4 linked regions of the Macaca fascicularis genome follow. The protein of the gene in region 3 interacts with the protein of the main gene of each other region in a pairwise test. Links are inferred from orthologs where the notes say so. Each region holds a gene or a part of one and is shown on either strand. Other genes may lie near its edges. The genes, in order: P4HA3, AHSP, ZC3H12A and BTRC.

What was found.
Region 1: the proteins of ZC3H12A (region 3) and P4HA3 interact in binary tests that used the Homo sapiens proteins (3 or more experiments, as listed by UniProt). The two-hybrid records come from large-scale screens. The link is inferred for Macaca fascicularis from reciprocal best matches to the Homo sapiens genes ZC3H12A and P4HA3.
Region 2: the proteins of ZC3H12A (region 3) and AHSP interact in binary tests that used the Homo sapiens proteins (3 or more experiments, as listed by UniProt). The two-hybrid records come from large-scale screens. The link is inferred for Macaca fascicularis from reciprocal best matches to the Homo sapiens genes ZC3H12A and AHSP.
Region 4: the proteins of ZC3H12A (region 3) and BTRC interact in binary tests that used the Homo sapiens proteins (3 or more experiments, as listed by UniProt). The link is inferred for Macaca fascicularis from reciprocal best matches to the Homo sapiens genes ZC3H12A and BTRC.

Annotation. Positions count from the first base shown.
Region 1 is NC_088388.1:73,182,522-73,187,008, reverse strand, and holds the start of P4HA3 (prolyl 4-hydroxylase subunit alpha-3), read left to right. Parts: upstream 1-1,547; 5' UTR 1,548-1,569; coding exon 1,570-1,769; intron 1,770-4,487. UniProt on the Homo sapiens protein: Catalyzes the post-translational formation of 4-hydroxyproline in -Xaa-Pro-Gly- sequences in collagens and other proteins.
Region 2 is NC_088394.1:29,732,052-29,735,335, reverse strand, and holds AHSP (alpha-hemoglobin-stabilizing protein), read right to left. Parts: upstream 1,450-3,284; 5' UTR 1,332-1,449; intron 1,211-1,331; 5' UTR 1,207-1,210; coding exon 1,132-1,206; intron 875-1,131; coding exon 641-874; 3' UTR 529-640; downstream 1-528. UniProt on the Homo sapiens protein: Acts as a chaperone to prevent the harmful aggregation of alpha-hemoglobin during normal erythroid cell development. Specifically protects free alpha-hemoglobin from precipitation.
Region 3 is NC_088375.1:197,447,986-197,451,861, reverse strand, and holds part of ZC3H12A (endoribonuclease ZC3H12A), read left to right. Parts: intron 1-2,940; coding exon 2,941-3,080; intron 3,081-3,876. UniProt on the Homo sapiens protein: Endoribonuclease involved in various biological functions such as cellular inflammatory response and immune homeostasis, glial differentiation of neuroprogenitor cells, cell death of cardiomyocytes, adipogenesis and angiogenesis.
Region 4 is NC_088383.1:110,491,877-110,495,752, reverse strand, and holds part of BTRC (F-box/WD repeat-containing protein 1A), read right to left. Parts: intron 2,281-3,876; coding exon 2,049-2,280; intron 1-2,048. UniProt on the Homo sapiens protein: Substrate recognition component of a SCF (SKP1-CUL1-F-box protein) E3 ubiquitin-protein ligase complex which mediates the ubiquitination and subsequent proteasomal degradation of target proteins. Recognizes and binds to phosphorylated target proteins.

The sequences.
Region 1 (4,487 bases), on a different chromosome or scaffold from region 3:
GCAAATGCCACAAATCAGAATTTTAATTTTTTTCCTAGACAGCTGGTTTACAGCACACCTCAAATGTGGTCCACAAGTGATTAACATTGAGTAGGTTATTGATTGTCCCTACAACTCAGTCTTCTCATTGGTAAAGTGGGGCTAATAATACTATAAGAATACTACTACTACCTAGGCTGTAAGGTCAGCATGAGAATTAAATGAGTTAATACATATAAAATACTCTGGACAGCAATTAAATGAGTTAATATATGTAAAATACTCTGGATGGCCCCTGCCACACAGGAAACACTCAGTAAGTATTAACTGCTGTGTTTACTATTGCCATTGTTACTACAATTATTACCACCTTAAAAACTTCCACTGGATTTTCATAGAGGAAAAGCACCTAAATTTCTTAGTATGGCATGCAAAGGCCCTTCGCAATCTGATAGTTTCAAGCACAAGGAACTTCTCGTCATTTCTGGAACTCAAACTGTTTTCCACCTCCAAACCTTGTCACGCACAGGTACCTTCTGCCAGGAAAGCCCACTCCTCCCTTGCCTGTCAACTTCCAATTTTTTTCATGCTTTTGAACCAGCACACATTATCTCCTCTCTGAAGCCCTCTCCACCCGCTAGATGAGGGTTCCTTCTTCAGTGTTGCCATTGCACATTGCACAACCCTCAGTTACTCTGACAGCACTTTACTGTGATTACTTGTTTACATATCTGTCTCCTCCTCTGAGTCCAGGATTGGATCTGCTATTTCTCTGTGTAGTCAGCACATTAACATAGGTGCTAATAAATATTTGTTGAATGAATGAACATTGCCTGGGAAATGATTAAGAGGGGGGAAATAGAGTAAGTAGCTTAGTAGGCTATAATAATAGCAATATTTTTGTTTGCCTAAGTGACTCTAGGTATATTGTGTAAAGCAGTGACATCAGGACCCCAGAGTTTCAGGTTCTGTAAGTCCTAGATTTGTCATACACTCACATCCTCACAGAGTCCTACTCATCCTTCAGATGGCTCAGATGTCACGCCCTCTGTGAGGGTTTTCCTGCCTGCTGCCCTCTTGCCGCTCTTTGCCTGCGCAGCTATTCACACACGCAAAATTGGCTCTTCTGTGGGGATCCAGTGGTGTTTGTGTATTCCCACTCCATGGTACAGAGGGGCGGATATTTTAGGGATGTTGTCAGCATGGTGTTAACAATATTTGGGGATGGTCACAGCCTTAGACCTGTGAATTCATCGCTCACCTCGCCCCCGCCTCAATTTCTCCCAGTGTGATGGGCACAGTGGAAACACCTTCACAGGGTCGCGATTTAGTGGAGGGCGGCTGACACTGATGTTGCAGGAAGCCCCCACGCATTCCGAGGAGCTGAGGGCTAGAGAGCGAGGTGAGGCGCGTCGAAACAAGGAAGGAGGCAGGGGGCGTGGGGCGAGACTGGGCTGCGGAGGCGACTGACCGGGGCCAGGGGGCGGGGCCTGAGCCGGGAGGGGGCGGGGAAAGGGGCGGGGCAGGCCAGGGCAGGAGCAGCTGGCTCCGCGCGGCCAGGACTGTCTGAGAAGTGCGCTAGCGCTGGCGATGGGTCCAGGGGCGCGGCTGGCGGCGCTGCTGGCAGTGCTGGCGCTCGGGACAGGAGACCCAGAAAGGGCTGCTGCGCGGGGCGACACGTTCTCTGCACTGACCAGCGTGGCGCGCGCCCTGGGGCCCGAACGCCGGCTGCTGGGGCTGCTGAGGCGGTACCTGCGCGGGGAGGAGGCGCGGCTGCGGGACCTGACTAGGTGAGGGCACGGCGAGTGGGAGCGACCGAGGGGCCTCAGTGGGAGACACTGTGCAGCAACGTGGGGTGACTCAGGTTGAGTGTGACCCCAGGCTCATTGTCATGCTGCGTGGGACCCCAGACCCACTGTCGCATCGTGCGACTGAGACATTGTGGCGTGGGATGGGGAGTGGCTCTGAGGGCCAGTGTGACCCCCCAGACCCATTGTCACAGTGTGTGGGACCCCGACACTCCGTGGCATGAGGTGTTGGCGAGGGTTGAGTCACACTGTGTGGGACTGCAGACTCCATAACACACACGGTGGCACTGTGGAAGAGCGGGGTGGGGTGACTCAAGGACCTCACAATGTGCTGTGCGAAGCTGTATGATCCCCAGGCCCTGTGTCACACTGACACAGACTCAGTGGACGGTGCTGTGACAGAGACACTGTGAGAGTGAGATGGAGAAAATATGGTGACGCTTTAGCTATGCAAGTATTGACTTTTCAAGGGGCGATCATGAAACACCGCATGACCTAGTGAGCTGAAGTTTAGTGTTAGGAGTCAGGTGACAGTCTTCCACCATATGTGAGATTTACATGTCATTGGCACTGGATGGGCACGACGCTGTGGATATCATACTCTGCATGTGAGTGATGCTGAGTAACTGTACAGGTCGCTATATGAATAATGCTTCAGTTCATTAATTCATAGAACACATATTTTTGAGTGCCTACTAAGAGCCAGGCAGTGTTCCAGGTAGTGGGGATAAAATGGTGAAGAAGAGCCAACTCTGCCCTCAAGGAGTTCGGGTCTGTAGCACCATGACTGTGAATCAGAGATGTCCACTGCCCTCTACGTCTTCAGTTCTTCCTTCTCCTTACACATGTAGAAGCTCTCTAAATACTAAATAAATGATAACTGAGATGTTATATGTGTGTCAACATATTTGATATCAAAAAAGCACTGTGAAAAAACATACTTGATGCAGAAGATATTGAGTATAGCACACGGCAGTGGATGCTCAGCTAATATTGTTTTGATATACAATCAACAAACTCTAGTGCTACACACTGTGGCATAAAAGATTGTTAGACTTGGGATGCTGAGGCACCATAGTCATGTATCGACTTTGGCAGTGTCCAGCTGAGAAAAATGAAAGATAAATGATTGTATATGATACCATCTGTATGAATATGTGCTGCGCCTTCTCTGCTTGGGACATGAAGAAGCCTACAACACTGACAGAGTGGTTATGACCACGTCACTATTTGGATATATTAATATTGTACCTTTATCACGTGACCTCCTTCTCATTGAGCTAAGACGGCACAATGCACTGCTTTTAAAACTTTGCGTGAGTGTATGTGATAGTAATACTGATTCTGGGGTGACATGAGAAGAAGGTATGTGGAATGGGGAGTGACTCTGAGGTCCAGTGTGACCCCCAAACCCATTGTCACCCTGTGCAAAACTTTGAGACCCCATGACTGTGAGAGAGAGCTATGTAGAAGAAAAGCATTTTGTGGGTGGAAAGTATTTGTGAGAGATCTTGTTAATAGTGACTGAATGAGCTAATTTGGTGCTTGTCCTTAAGTATGTGGCTTGCATATAAACAGCTTGAAATAGTGTGACAATGTACAATATAGGTATGTATTAATTTTAACAATAAATGAAGATCATTTCAATAACTATTGTCACTTTTTGGTATAGCATTGTTGTCTAGTATTCTATGGGTCCATGCTGACTGAGTCAAATGTCTTCTTTTTGTTCATAGCCCAGAGTCATTGGAGTCCAAGCTTATTGATGGAAATAGGAAAGACTTTTTTCTGCTTGATTTCAGAGCCCAGCATGCTCCCTGCTACCCATGCTTGTTTTCATACCAGTAATCTCTTTCTTTGGGTAGCTCAGATGGAGATGGGAGTGGGGGGTCAGAATCCCTGTGCTGGTCTTTCAGGTTACATTCTCAGAAGAGAGCACTCAGAGCATTTTGGCCAAAGCAGCTGGCCGACCCCACTCCGCCATGCTGGTCTCTTTCACTGTCTTTCCACCATTATCATTGCCACAACTTTGTCGCAGCAGGAGGTCTCATACAAACCGTATCTCATTTGATTCTCTCTCACACACGGTGCTTTGAAATAGATTTGTATTACACTGTTAACTGTTGAGAAATCAGTTAAAACCCAAGAAAACTAAAGTCTAGTTGCTTATTCAAGATTGTATTAATAAATCTAACAGGTAGCAAATCCAGGACTAGGATACAGTTGTTTTGACTGTTTATCCAACTTTTTTCCTATTATGCTATGTTATCCCTACCGCTTCTTTTATCTGTTATACCAAGACATAGACCAAGCCCCTAACTAATTGAGGTTTTACTAGTGGCCACAGTACATAGTGGTTAACGGTAAATTCAGGAGTTTAACAGACCTCTGTTTGAATCATTGGCTCTGATCTGGGACAAGTTACTTTACCTCTTTGAGCTTTAGTTTCCTAATCTTTAAAATGATGATAAACACAGTACCTATCACTATAGGGTTGTTGAAGGATTAAGAGTACCATGTAAAAGTATTTATCATTATGCCTGGCATGTAACAATTGCTGGACAAATGCTAAGCCTTTATGCTTATTATTTTATTTTATTTTATTTTATTTTATTTTAAGACCAACTAGTGAAACTAGGCCCCACTTTTGGCTCTGAGGATTAACTAGGATTGTGACAGCCTAGATAAAAAACAAATCAG
Region 2 (3,284 bases), on a different chromosome or scaffold from region 3:
GATGTTGGAGCCAAAGGGAAGGGGCTCCCTGGCTTGAAACCTAAGTGGCGCGCTGAAGGGTTCTCAAGATCCCTTACAACTCTAAATTCCTAAGATGCTCGGGCCTCCGGGGAGGTATTCTGCGGTAGTCAGAGTCCGAAGATCCTAGAATGTTGTTTGAGCTGGAGCTAAGGACAGGGGATTGAAAAGTCGAGGCGGTGGACCTGGCGCAGGATGAACAAGACTGGGAGACTTCCAGCAGTTTCCTCCTCGACAAGCAGGTCACAGGACAACGTCTGGAGGGCTTCTATCCCCCTTTCTTGTTTCTGCCACCCCCTCCCCCGCGCCTCCGCACTCTCTCTAGTCCTGCCTTCCTGGCCCTCATTCAGCCTGTTTTAGTTTAGAATCGCTGCCCAGTGTTCACTTAAGGCTGCTAACCTCTGCTCTAAGGAATTAAGCTTCCAAGAGCATATCTAAGAAGGAGGGCGGAAGGAAAGGGACCGACTGCCTCCACATGTCAGGTCAGACCATGAAAGAGAAGCCAGGAAGTCCAACAAAACCAGCACTGGTCTTTATTGAGGTGTCAGTGTAGAGTGGCGGGAGCACAGCCTAAGGACATGAAGGTCAGAGTTTCTCAGAGAGGAGGGGCTGGGTCCCTGGGCTAGGAGGAGAGCGGTGGGTGACTCCGGAGCTCATGAGACTTCAGGAAGTCCCTGTACTTGGCCAGGAAAGGGTTGGCCAGAGTGTTCAGCTCTTGCCGAAGCTCCTGCAGAGCCCTGTCTCGTTCTTGGGGCTCCCCTGTCACCTGCTGCCTGTAATAGTTGATGTAGAAGTTCATCCAGTCCTCCACCACAGTCACCATGTCTTCTTCAGAGATGAGAGGATCATTGAAGACCTGGGGGGTTGCGGAGAGGCAGTTGGCAAGGGAGAATGTGGTCAGCAGTGGGATTCAGGAATACCCAGAATAGTGCCACGGCACCAGCTCTCACATCCTCCTTCCTCTGCATTGTATCCCGTGTCTCTCATTGTTTCCAGCAATTCCACCATTACTTCATCAGCTCCAGTTATCCTCTGTTTTCTGCCCTCATCCTCCACTTCCCCAGCACCCCCCAGTCTCCAGGCCAGTCCTTTGAAACGAAAGCCTGAACTCACCTGCTGATTCAGCAGAGCGCCGAACTCCTGCCGTCCTGCAGAAATGAGATCCTTATTGGCCTTAAGAAGAGCCATCTGCCTGGGTAGAGAAAAGGGTAGAATTGACATATCCGTTTCCCTCCTCACTGGGTATTTCCCCCAGTCTGCTTCCGCCCCTTAAAAATTCCTCCTGCCCTGCAGGGCCACCTCCTTTCCAAAACCTTTCACATCCTGCTCTGCTCTGAGGTCACGATTTTCCCAGGTTGGGCTCACCTTCAGGTCTAACAGGGTGTATATGTCTCACCCACACTCTTGAGGGTGCGTGAATCGCTCTGTGCCAAGCTCTAGATGTAGGCAATGAGTCAAATGTCAGCCTAAGATAGAAACGCCCTGCATCTAGGTCCTGAAAGAGGGTGATAGGTCATTCTGGGGAGGAGAAGAAGGGAGAGGCTTCCCTGAAGGTAGAAAGATAACAAGGCCAAAAAAAAAAAAAAGATAAATGAGGAAACCCAGGAAACCAAGAATGCAAGAGTCAAACCAGGGACATGTCGTTGCCCTTGGCCCCATATTTAGTATGCAGGCTTGAAATTCTATGGAAATTGACATTTACTGAGCCTTATTACATGACGGAGGCTTTTGTGTAATCACAACGATGTGATGGCAATTATTCTCTCAATTCAGAGATGATGTATTAATAGCAGCTTGCATTACATCTATTCATTTGCGCCAAGCACTGTTTCAAACGTATAAAATATTTATCCTATAAAATTTCTTTTTAGACACATGTTGCAGATAAGCCATCTGTAAGCATGTAGACCGAACTCCACCATGCTGCACTCCACAAGAATGGAGATGAATAGCCGGGCGTGGTGGTGGGTGCCTGTAGTTTCAGCTGCTTGGGAATCTGAGGCACAAGAATCACTTGAACCCAGGAGGCAAAGGTTGCAGTGGGCCAAGATCATGCCACAGCACTCCAACAAGGCGAAGGAGATGCATTTGTCTTCTTCACTACCCCCTCAACAGGTATCCAATAAAGCAGAAATACTCTTTTTCTTCTTTTTAAATATTTTTCCTGGTATTTTCCATTTTCAATAGATGTTTCTCAAATTTCAAAATCACTATATACTAATTTAAATAATTAAAAAAATACAAAAACATACACTGAAAAACAATCATTTTTGCCCCCTCCAAAGTAACCAGCATTAAACATGGTATATTTCCTGTCACTTTTTTTTTCCATTCAAAACCCAACATTCATAGGTACCTATACACTCATAAAGTTTTGTTGATTTGCCTTTTTGGTTGTAGCATTTTAAAATCAATATACAGCAAAACTGACTTCCTTTTGGTGTACAATTTATTAATTTTTTTTTTTTTTTTTTTTGAGAGGGAGTCTCCCTCTGTGGCCCAGGCTGGAGTGCAGTAACGCGATCTCGGCTCACTGCAAACTTTACCTCCCAGGTTCAGGCGATTCTCCTGCCTCAGCCTCCCAAGTAGCTGGGATTACAGGCGTGCACTACCACGCCTAGCTAATTTTTGTATTTTAGTAGAGATGGGGTTTCATCATGTTGGCCAGGCTAGTCTCGAACTCCTGACCTCAAGTGATCCACCCACTTCCCAAAGTGCTGGGATGACAGGTGTGAGCCACTGCATCCGGCCTACAACCGCGGTTAAGATACAGAATGTTTCCATAACCCAAAAACCACTCCTTCATGTTACCCTTTTGTAGCCACCCCTCCCGTCACCCATAACTTCTGGCAACCACTTATCTGTTCATCACTACAGTTAAGTCTTTTTCAGGATGTCATATAAATGGAATCATACAGTCTGTAACCTTTGAGGCTGGCGTTTTTTGGTCAGCATGATGTTCTTGAACTCCATCCAAGTTATTGCAAGTGTCAGTGCACACAGTGCGTTGTATGGACGCACTGTAGTTTGTTCATTCAGCCACGGAAGGACATCTAGATTGTTTGCACTTTGGGGCAAGTGTGAATAGAGTTGCTATAAACGTTTGTGTACAGGTTTCCATGTGAACATGTTTTCATTTATATAGGGTGGAAAGTATGTGTTACCAGCCAGACACGGTGGCTCACATCTGTGATCCCAGCACTTTGGGAGGTCAAGGCAGGCGGATCACTTGAGGTCAGGAGTTCGAGACCATCCTAGCCAACATG
Region 3 (3,876 bases):
GGGGGGTGCTCAGAGGAGCCTGCTCCTGAGAAGCAGAGCTACGCACCCACCTCGGGGGTTTCTGAGCTGGGGTAGTGGCAGGAGGGGAATTCCAGCCTCAAACTTCCTGTCTCAGCTGCTACTCGGTTCCTGCCCCGGCCACCCTCCTCCCCAGGGGCAGGCGGGCTAGCCCCCATCCATCATATGCAAATTATGGGGAAATTCACCTCTGTTTCCTTCTAAGGGAATTTTTCTCCACTCACCAGGCCCAGCCCAGGCATATCTTTTCACCTGGGGAGGCTGGCCCAGCCCTGCCCTCTGTCCTGGGGCAGGAGCAGTCTAGCTGGAGTCTTCTACACACACTTCCTATCAGTGTCTGCTTCGCCAGGCTGGGGGACCCTGACCTTACGGGCAAAGAGGACTGGGGTGGGGGCAGGGATGTCTGGTTTTCCTGTGCCAGCAGCGCTTCCTCCAGTGCAGTGAAACAGACTAAAGCTAGCTGTAGGGGGGCACTCCAGGCCTCATGTGCTGTACCAAGAGGGCTCTGATAGCACCCACTGATCACAGTTTTTCCATCTGCTGAGGGAATATTCAGGTGCTAGGGCTGCTGAGGACCGACTTGTCCCCAGCCAAGATTTTCAATGCCCAGAGGCAGTGCACTGCCCTGGGAGCCCTGGCATCCCATTAGTTCCCAAGGCTCCAAGATACCAGCCTAGGATCACGTGCCCGGAGGGAGGCGGGTGGGTGGATACATGCGCACACTGCATACCTGAGAGAAGGAGCTGGGCCTGGGGTGACCCAGCTGCCACGGTTTTGAGAGGCAGGGCAGAAGGCCCAGGGAAGGGGATGATGTGATGGGGGAAGCACTGGGCATTGTGAAGACACAGACCAGGGACCTGACCCATTGTGGCAGGTCAGGGAAGGCTTCTCAGAGGCAGTGACATCTCACAAGCATTTTGAAGGAAGAGCAGGAGTTTGCCCCCAGCATTGTTTCTCCCTTTCGCCGCCTGTCTCTTAGAACACACTTTGTTTAAACTTAATTTTGGGAGCTTTGTTCTCCCAAATAAATTCTGGGTCTTCTGTTAGAGACAGGAAGGCAACCAAGTGGCCCAGACCTGGGTTCCAGTTCTGAATGTCTCTTACCACTAGCCAGGTGACCTTGGACGAGTCCCAGAGCCTTCCTTTCCTTCACAGTAGCAAGCCCTGTAAGAATGAAGCCATATATTTGGCTGCCAGTGGGAGCTCGGTGCCTGCGAATCCCTGCTCATTCCCTGTGATCAGGGTCTGTCTGCCTTTATACCTACCTGAGCATTAATGTACAGGGTGGTGATAGGCACAGGTCCTGGGCCTGCATCGCTGTTCCACCGTTACTGCTGTGTGACCCTGGTGACTAAGCTGCCTTCTCTGGACCACAGTTTTCATCTGAAAAACAGGGAAGGGGATGATGGTGGTATAGTGCCCTCCTCACAAGCTTGCTGATGATTCAGTGTTAGGTGCTTAGAACAGGGCCTGGTTCACAGCTCTCAGCAAATGGGAACTTTTCTTATAAGCAGGCTGGCAGATGGGGCAGGGGGACCAGGGGAGGATGAGTGCTGCCCTGGGCTGGACTTTGTCTCCCCTACAATTTAGAGACCTTCAGACCCTGGTGCCCCAGCCTTGCCCCCAAACAGCCTCCATGGCCCCCAGCTGCCTTACCTTCTCTTAAGGCTCCAGCTATCACCCCTTACCTCCCCCACTCCCATTAAAGACACCCACAGGATGTGGTCGGCCCTGGACTTGCCTCTTTTGCGTAACATTTATTCTGTTTTATTTGCCAAATATGAGAGTCTAAGCTGTTCACTGAGGGGGCAGTGAGAGGTGGGGCTGCTGGTCCTAGGAGCTCTTCCATGACACTTAGTGTTACCTGGGAGCCCCAAGCCCCAGTCCTCCGTCCCCCAGGAAATCCAGCTGGAACCCCTACTTTGCAGGGCCATCTTTGGCCTGAAGCCACCAGGAAAGCTGACTGACCCGTCTTAAGGACACTGCAGACTGCTGGGCCCGTTTTCAGATAGAGGAATGGAGAGCTGCAGCAGCCCAGGAGCCCCGCCAGGCGCCCTTCTGGGTGCAGCCACCTGTGGGTGGGGTACGGCCTGGTCTGAGACCAAGGCAGGGCCCGTGCCTCACTCAGCTGTCCTTACTAAGAGTCCCCCGGCGTCTTCCTGATGGTCTTTCAGCCTTGGGGTGAACAGGCGTTTGGGGGGATTGCCATCTTGGGAGGAAAAGCAGTATCCTTTCACTTTCAGACTGAAAGGGGAGCCTGCTCCACTCTGGCACTTTCTGTCCCACACTGAAGGCTGGAGTCGCCAGCCCCTTCCCCTTTGCCCTTCTCAGGCCCCAGTCCCTGAGGTGTGTGTGAGGACTGAACTTTAATCCGGAACAATCTGGTTTCTCCTCAGTCAGCCCAGCCGGTGCTTCCCCCGCCCCCACCCATGCTGCAAGAGGCGAGGGAGGGGTGGTGACTCAGTGTGCATGTGTACGTCTGTCCCTGTGGTCCCGGCAGCTCGCCGGGTGGGGCAGGAACCAGAAGTCTCCCGGCACCTTTCCCCCACCCCCAGGTGTGTTGCAAGTGGCCTGGCCCTCCCCCACCGTGGGGAGCAGTGCTGCCAGCTTCCTGGGCGCTTCCTCACTTTCAGGAGATGGAGCCTCAGGGAAAGTCCCAGCGGGGCCTGGCCATCCTGGAGTTGTGGGAACTGGCACTGGGAATGGAGGCCTTGGCCTTGGGCCCCACCTGCAGAGGGCCAGGGCCTGAGCCCTGGGGAAAGAGGAAGGGGCTGGTGATTCCAAAGGGGAAGGGGCTGCTCACCACCACCACCAAAGCCAGGGCAGGGGTGGGGTATGACAGCCCCCCTCCTCCTGCTCAGGCCTAGGGGGTGGCAGGCTGGCCATCAGTGTGGGCTAACCCTGTCCTCCTCTCCCTCCCAGCCATGGGAACAAGGAGGTCTTCTCCTGCCGGGGCATCCTGCTGGCGGTGAACTGGTTTCTGGAGCGGGGCCACACAGACATCACAGTGTTTGTGCCATCCTGGAGGAAGGAGCAGCCTCGGCCCGATGTGCCCATCACAGGTGAGTGCTGCCTCTGGAGGTGGGATGGTATTACTGCCCCAGCAGCCCTGGTTCTCCCCAAGAGAGACCCTCTGGGAGTGGCCTAACTTCTAGAACTCAAGCAGGGACCAGCATTTCTTTTCTCAGTTTTTTCTGTCCTTAGCAACCTGCTCTGAACAGTGGTCATTGGAGGTCACCTTGTCTAGTCTTCTGCCTCAGATGTGGGGCCCCTCCCTCATCCTACTGGTGGGCGGGTCACTCTTTCAACCTCCCCAGTGGTAGAGGGGCAGTGCCACATAGTGGTTAAGCCTGTGGGCTCTGAGTCAAGACAACCAGAGTTGGAATCCTGGCTCTGTCCCCTCCTGGCGCCCTGGCCTGGGCAGGGATCTCTGTTAGCCCCGCTCCACGTGCTCCTCATCTGAAACATGGGGTCAGTGTCGGCGGGGGGTGTTGACAGCAGCTCCTTCCTCATGAGATTGTATAAGTTAACACATGGTTAAGTGCTGAGAAGAGTACCTGGCACGTGGTAGACGTTCAGTGTATGTTAGCTGTTACCACTGTTCTTGCAAGAGCCCCCAGCTTTTGGAGGTAAAAACTGAATCCGTTTCTCTAGAAGTCTTGAGATCTGGGGGCAGGCTGTCTGGGGCTACAGGCTCCAGGAAGAGGGGCCCTTTCCACTTGCTCACATCTGTGTCCCTGTGGTCCCAGCAGCTCCCCAGGTGGGGCCTGGTGAGTGGCCTGACCTTTCCCCACCATGGGATTTAGCAACCTTGTCCTGGCAATGCAAGGGACAGAGCCAAAATACTTCTCCCACCCC
Region 4 (3,876 bases), on a different chromosome or scaffold from region 3:
AAAATCCAATGAGTAAAGAGGGGGCAAAAATCTATTCCATTTAACAAAAGATATAGGTAAAATTCAGTTTTTACAGGGGTTATTCCTAAGATATAAATAGGTATTTCTTTTGTTTTAAACAGCAACTTAAATTCCTAGTTCAGAAAAACAAAAATTTAAAAAAGGTATAATTAGCAAATATAAAACAAAGTAGTATTAATAGTTGGGAGGCTATGAGCTGGTATATTTTTATCAGGGGATAGTTTGGCACCATGTATTAAAAGCCTTTAAAAATGTTCATATTCCTTAATATATAGCGATTCCATGTCTGTATTTTTTTCCGTAGGATTCCCACAAGATTAATGTATAAAAATTCATCATCACATGGTTTATAATAGGAAAAAATTTTGAAACTACCTAAATGTTCAATAAAGGGGTTAAATAGTATGTGCTTCAACCATTGTAAAGAATATTATGCAACAATTGAAAAGAACACACATTCAGAAAAATACATGAAGAGAATGTATTCAGAAAAATGGTCACAAAACATTTATGATCAAAGCTTTATAGGAAAAAAAAAACACATACCTAGACAAAACAGAAAGGCTACCTGCCAAAATATTAATAATATAGCAAATCAGTAGTTCTTTCTGAATGCTGGGGGGAAATGTTTTTAAATATTTTCTAAGTTCCCTGTAACTTCTGTAACTGGAAAACAACAACACCCCCTCCCCTAACAAGATATGACATTTAAGATAAGATTCATTCAAGTTGGTATGATTTTTTCCTCTTAAAATAAACTTTGAATACACAAGAATCTTATCTTCCTGACATAGCATTCCCCCCAAACACTGACACCTTGGAAGTGTTCTAGGTGTCAGTATTTGGGGGGAATACTATGTCAGGAAAATAAGCCCTTCCAAAAATAAGCATTTAGAAAAACCACAGCACCCTCCAAAAAAAGGATTTTACATATCATTTTATATTTATTTATTTAACACCACAACGAGGCTTATGAGATAGCCTTCTTTCTAAAAACTTCAATTAAAAATGTTTTTTATTCATCTGTAGAATTTCAATATTCTGTTGATATATTCTCATAGAAATACAAATCCAAGTACATAAACATATCTTGAAACTAAGACATATTATAAAAGACACAACTTACATCAGGTAACACCTCAGAAAAGATTTTATTTGGACCTATGTATGGGTAAAAATAGGTTGAATAGAAGGGCATGAGTAAGAAGATAGGATAAAAGGAGTCTCGGCTGGGCGCGGTGGCTCATGCCTGTAATCCCAGCACTTTGGGAGGCTGAGGCGGGTGAATCATTGGAGGTCAAGAGTTCAAGATCAGCCTGGCCAATATGGTGAAACCCTGCCTCTACTAAAAATACAAAAATTAGCCAGGCATGGTGTCAGGTGCCTGTAGTCCCAGCTACTCGGGAGGCTGAGGCAGGAGAATTGCCTGAACCTGGGAGGCAGAGGTTGCAATGAGCCAAGATCATGCCACTGCACTCACTCCAGTCTAGGTGACAAAGTGAGACTCTGCCTCAAAAAAAAAAAAAAAAAAAAGAGTCTTTATTTCTAGAGTTTGTTTTTTTAAAAGCTTTATACCAGCCGAGCGCAGCGGCTCATGCCTGTAATCCTAGCACTTTGGGAGGCCGAGGCGGGACGATCACAAGGTCAGGAGATTGAGACCATCCTGGCTAACACGGTGAAACCCTGTCTCTACTAAAAACACAAAAAATTAGCCGGGCATGGTGGCGGGCGCTTCTAGTCCCAGCTACTCAGGAGGCTGAGGCAGGAGAATGGCGTGAACCCGGGAGGCGGAGCTTGCAGTGAGCCAAGATCACACCACTGCACTCCAGCCTGGGCTACAGAGCAAGACTCCGTCTCAAAAAAAAAAAAAAAAAAAAAAAAAAAGCTTTACACCAAAAAGTACAGTTAAGGAACTTAATTTGTAAAAATCAAGCCAATAAAGACTTTTAAAGACAGATACATAGCTAGAGATTTAGTTCTGTTATCATCACAGCAAATTCATGATTTACAAACACTTGTAGACATACCTGGCAAAGCAGTTATGAAATCTCTCTGCAACATAGGTTTAAGATACGAGTTTATGTGCCCATGTTGGTAATGACACATTTGGGATATAAGATGTTCCACAAATTCCACTTGATCTGACTCTGACCACTGCTCAAAGTATTTGACACACAGTTCCTTTTCCTTTTCATAGCTTGCCGAGAGTTTCCGTTGCTTGGGCACAATCATACTGGAAGTGCCATTGGCAAGTTTTGTCTATAGAAGGGGGTTAAAAGAAACAAAACGATTAGTATTGAAAATGAGGGAAATATACACGATTTTCTGGTATGGCATGCTATGTTATGTCTACACGATTGAGCCGACTCTGTTATTCTATTAGCAATTACGTGGAAAACCACAGAAACACCATACAAAGTTGGTAAATCAGCTATAACGCCAGAAGACTAAGCATCCATTTCCAAAAGTTTGCAGAAGACATTCTTAATACTTGAACATACACAAATAAAAACTGAAAGCTGAAAGCATGTTATTACTAGCAAGCCAAAAATCTAATTTGCTTTTTCTTGTATACAACAGTTGTTGGACAGTTATACAATTACTTGCTCACAACTTTTTTTTGAGACAAGGTCTCACTCTATCACCCAGGCTGGAGTGCAGTGGTGAGATAGATCATAGCTCACTGCAGCCTCTAGCTCCTGGGCTCAAGCGATCCTCCCACCTTAGCCTCCAGAGTAGCTGAGACTATATTGGTGCAAACTACCATGTACAGCTAATTTTTAAATTTTTTTTGTACAGATGGAGTCTTCTTTTGTTGCCCAGGCTGGTCTCAAACTCCTGGCTTCAAGCAATTTTCCTGCCTTGGCTTTTCAAAGTGCTGGGATTACAGGTGTGAGCCATTGTGCCCTGTCATCACAGCTTTTTTTTTTTTAGACAGAGTCTTGCTCTGTTGCCCAGGCTGGAGTGCACTGGCACAATCTTGGCTCACTGCAACTTCCACCTCCCAGGTGGAGAATCAAGTGATTCTCCTGCCTCAGCCTCCCAAGTATTGGGACTACAGGTGCCCACCACCACACCTGGCTAAGTTTTATATTTTTAGTAGAGACAGGGTTTCACCATGTTGGACAGGCTGGTCTTGAACTCCTGACCTCAAATGATCTGCCTGCTTCAGCCTCCCAAAGTGCTGGGATTACAGGCAATAGCCACTGTGCCCAGCCAACAACTTGGTTTTTAATTGTTAAATAAGAAGTCCTTTATGGAAAGAGAAACCAAAGAATATTCTGAGACTCTGTGGTACCTTTTTGAACATAAAGCTAAAATAACACTCATATGCTCAATCTACCCTTTTCCATAAAATAAAATATTCTGTATTTCCCATGCAGTCTTTTTTATTAATTGACTCATTCAATAAGTATTTACTGAGCACCTACAATGTGCCCAACACTGTCCTTGGTACTAGGAATATAACAACAAAAATGACAGTCTCTAACATCACTAACATATACTCTTAGTGTAAAAGGCACATTAAAAACACAAGCAGCCAGGCGCAGTAGCTTACACTTGTAATCCCAGCTACTCAGGAGGCTGAGGCAGGAGAATAGCTTGAACCTGGGAGGCAGAGGTTGCAGTGAGCTGAGATTGCACCACTTCCCTCCAGCCTGGGCAACAGGGCGAGACTCTGTCCCCCAAAACAAACAAACAAACAAAATACAAGCAAATACTTAGAAAATATAATGTAGGTAGTGCTATGAAGAAAAATAAAGCAGGATAAAGGAACAGGAAAAAAATATATGTTATTGTCATAGGCAAAATTCTAAGATGGTCTCCAAGATTCTTTTTTTTGTTTGTTTTGAG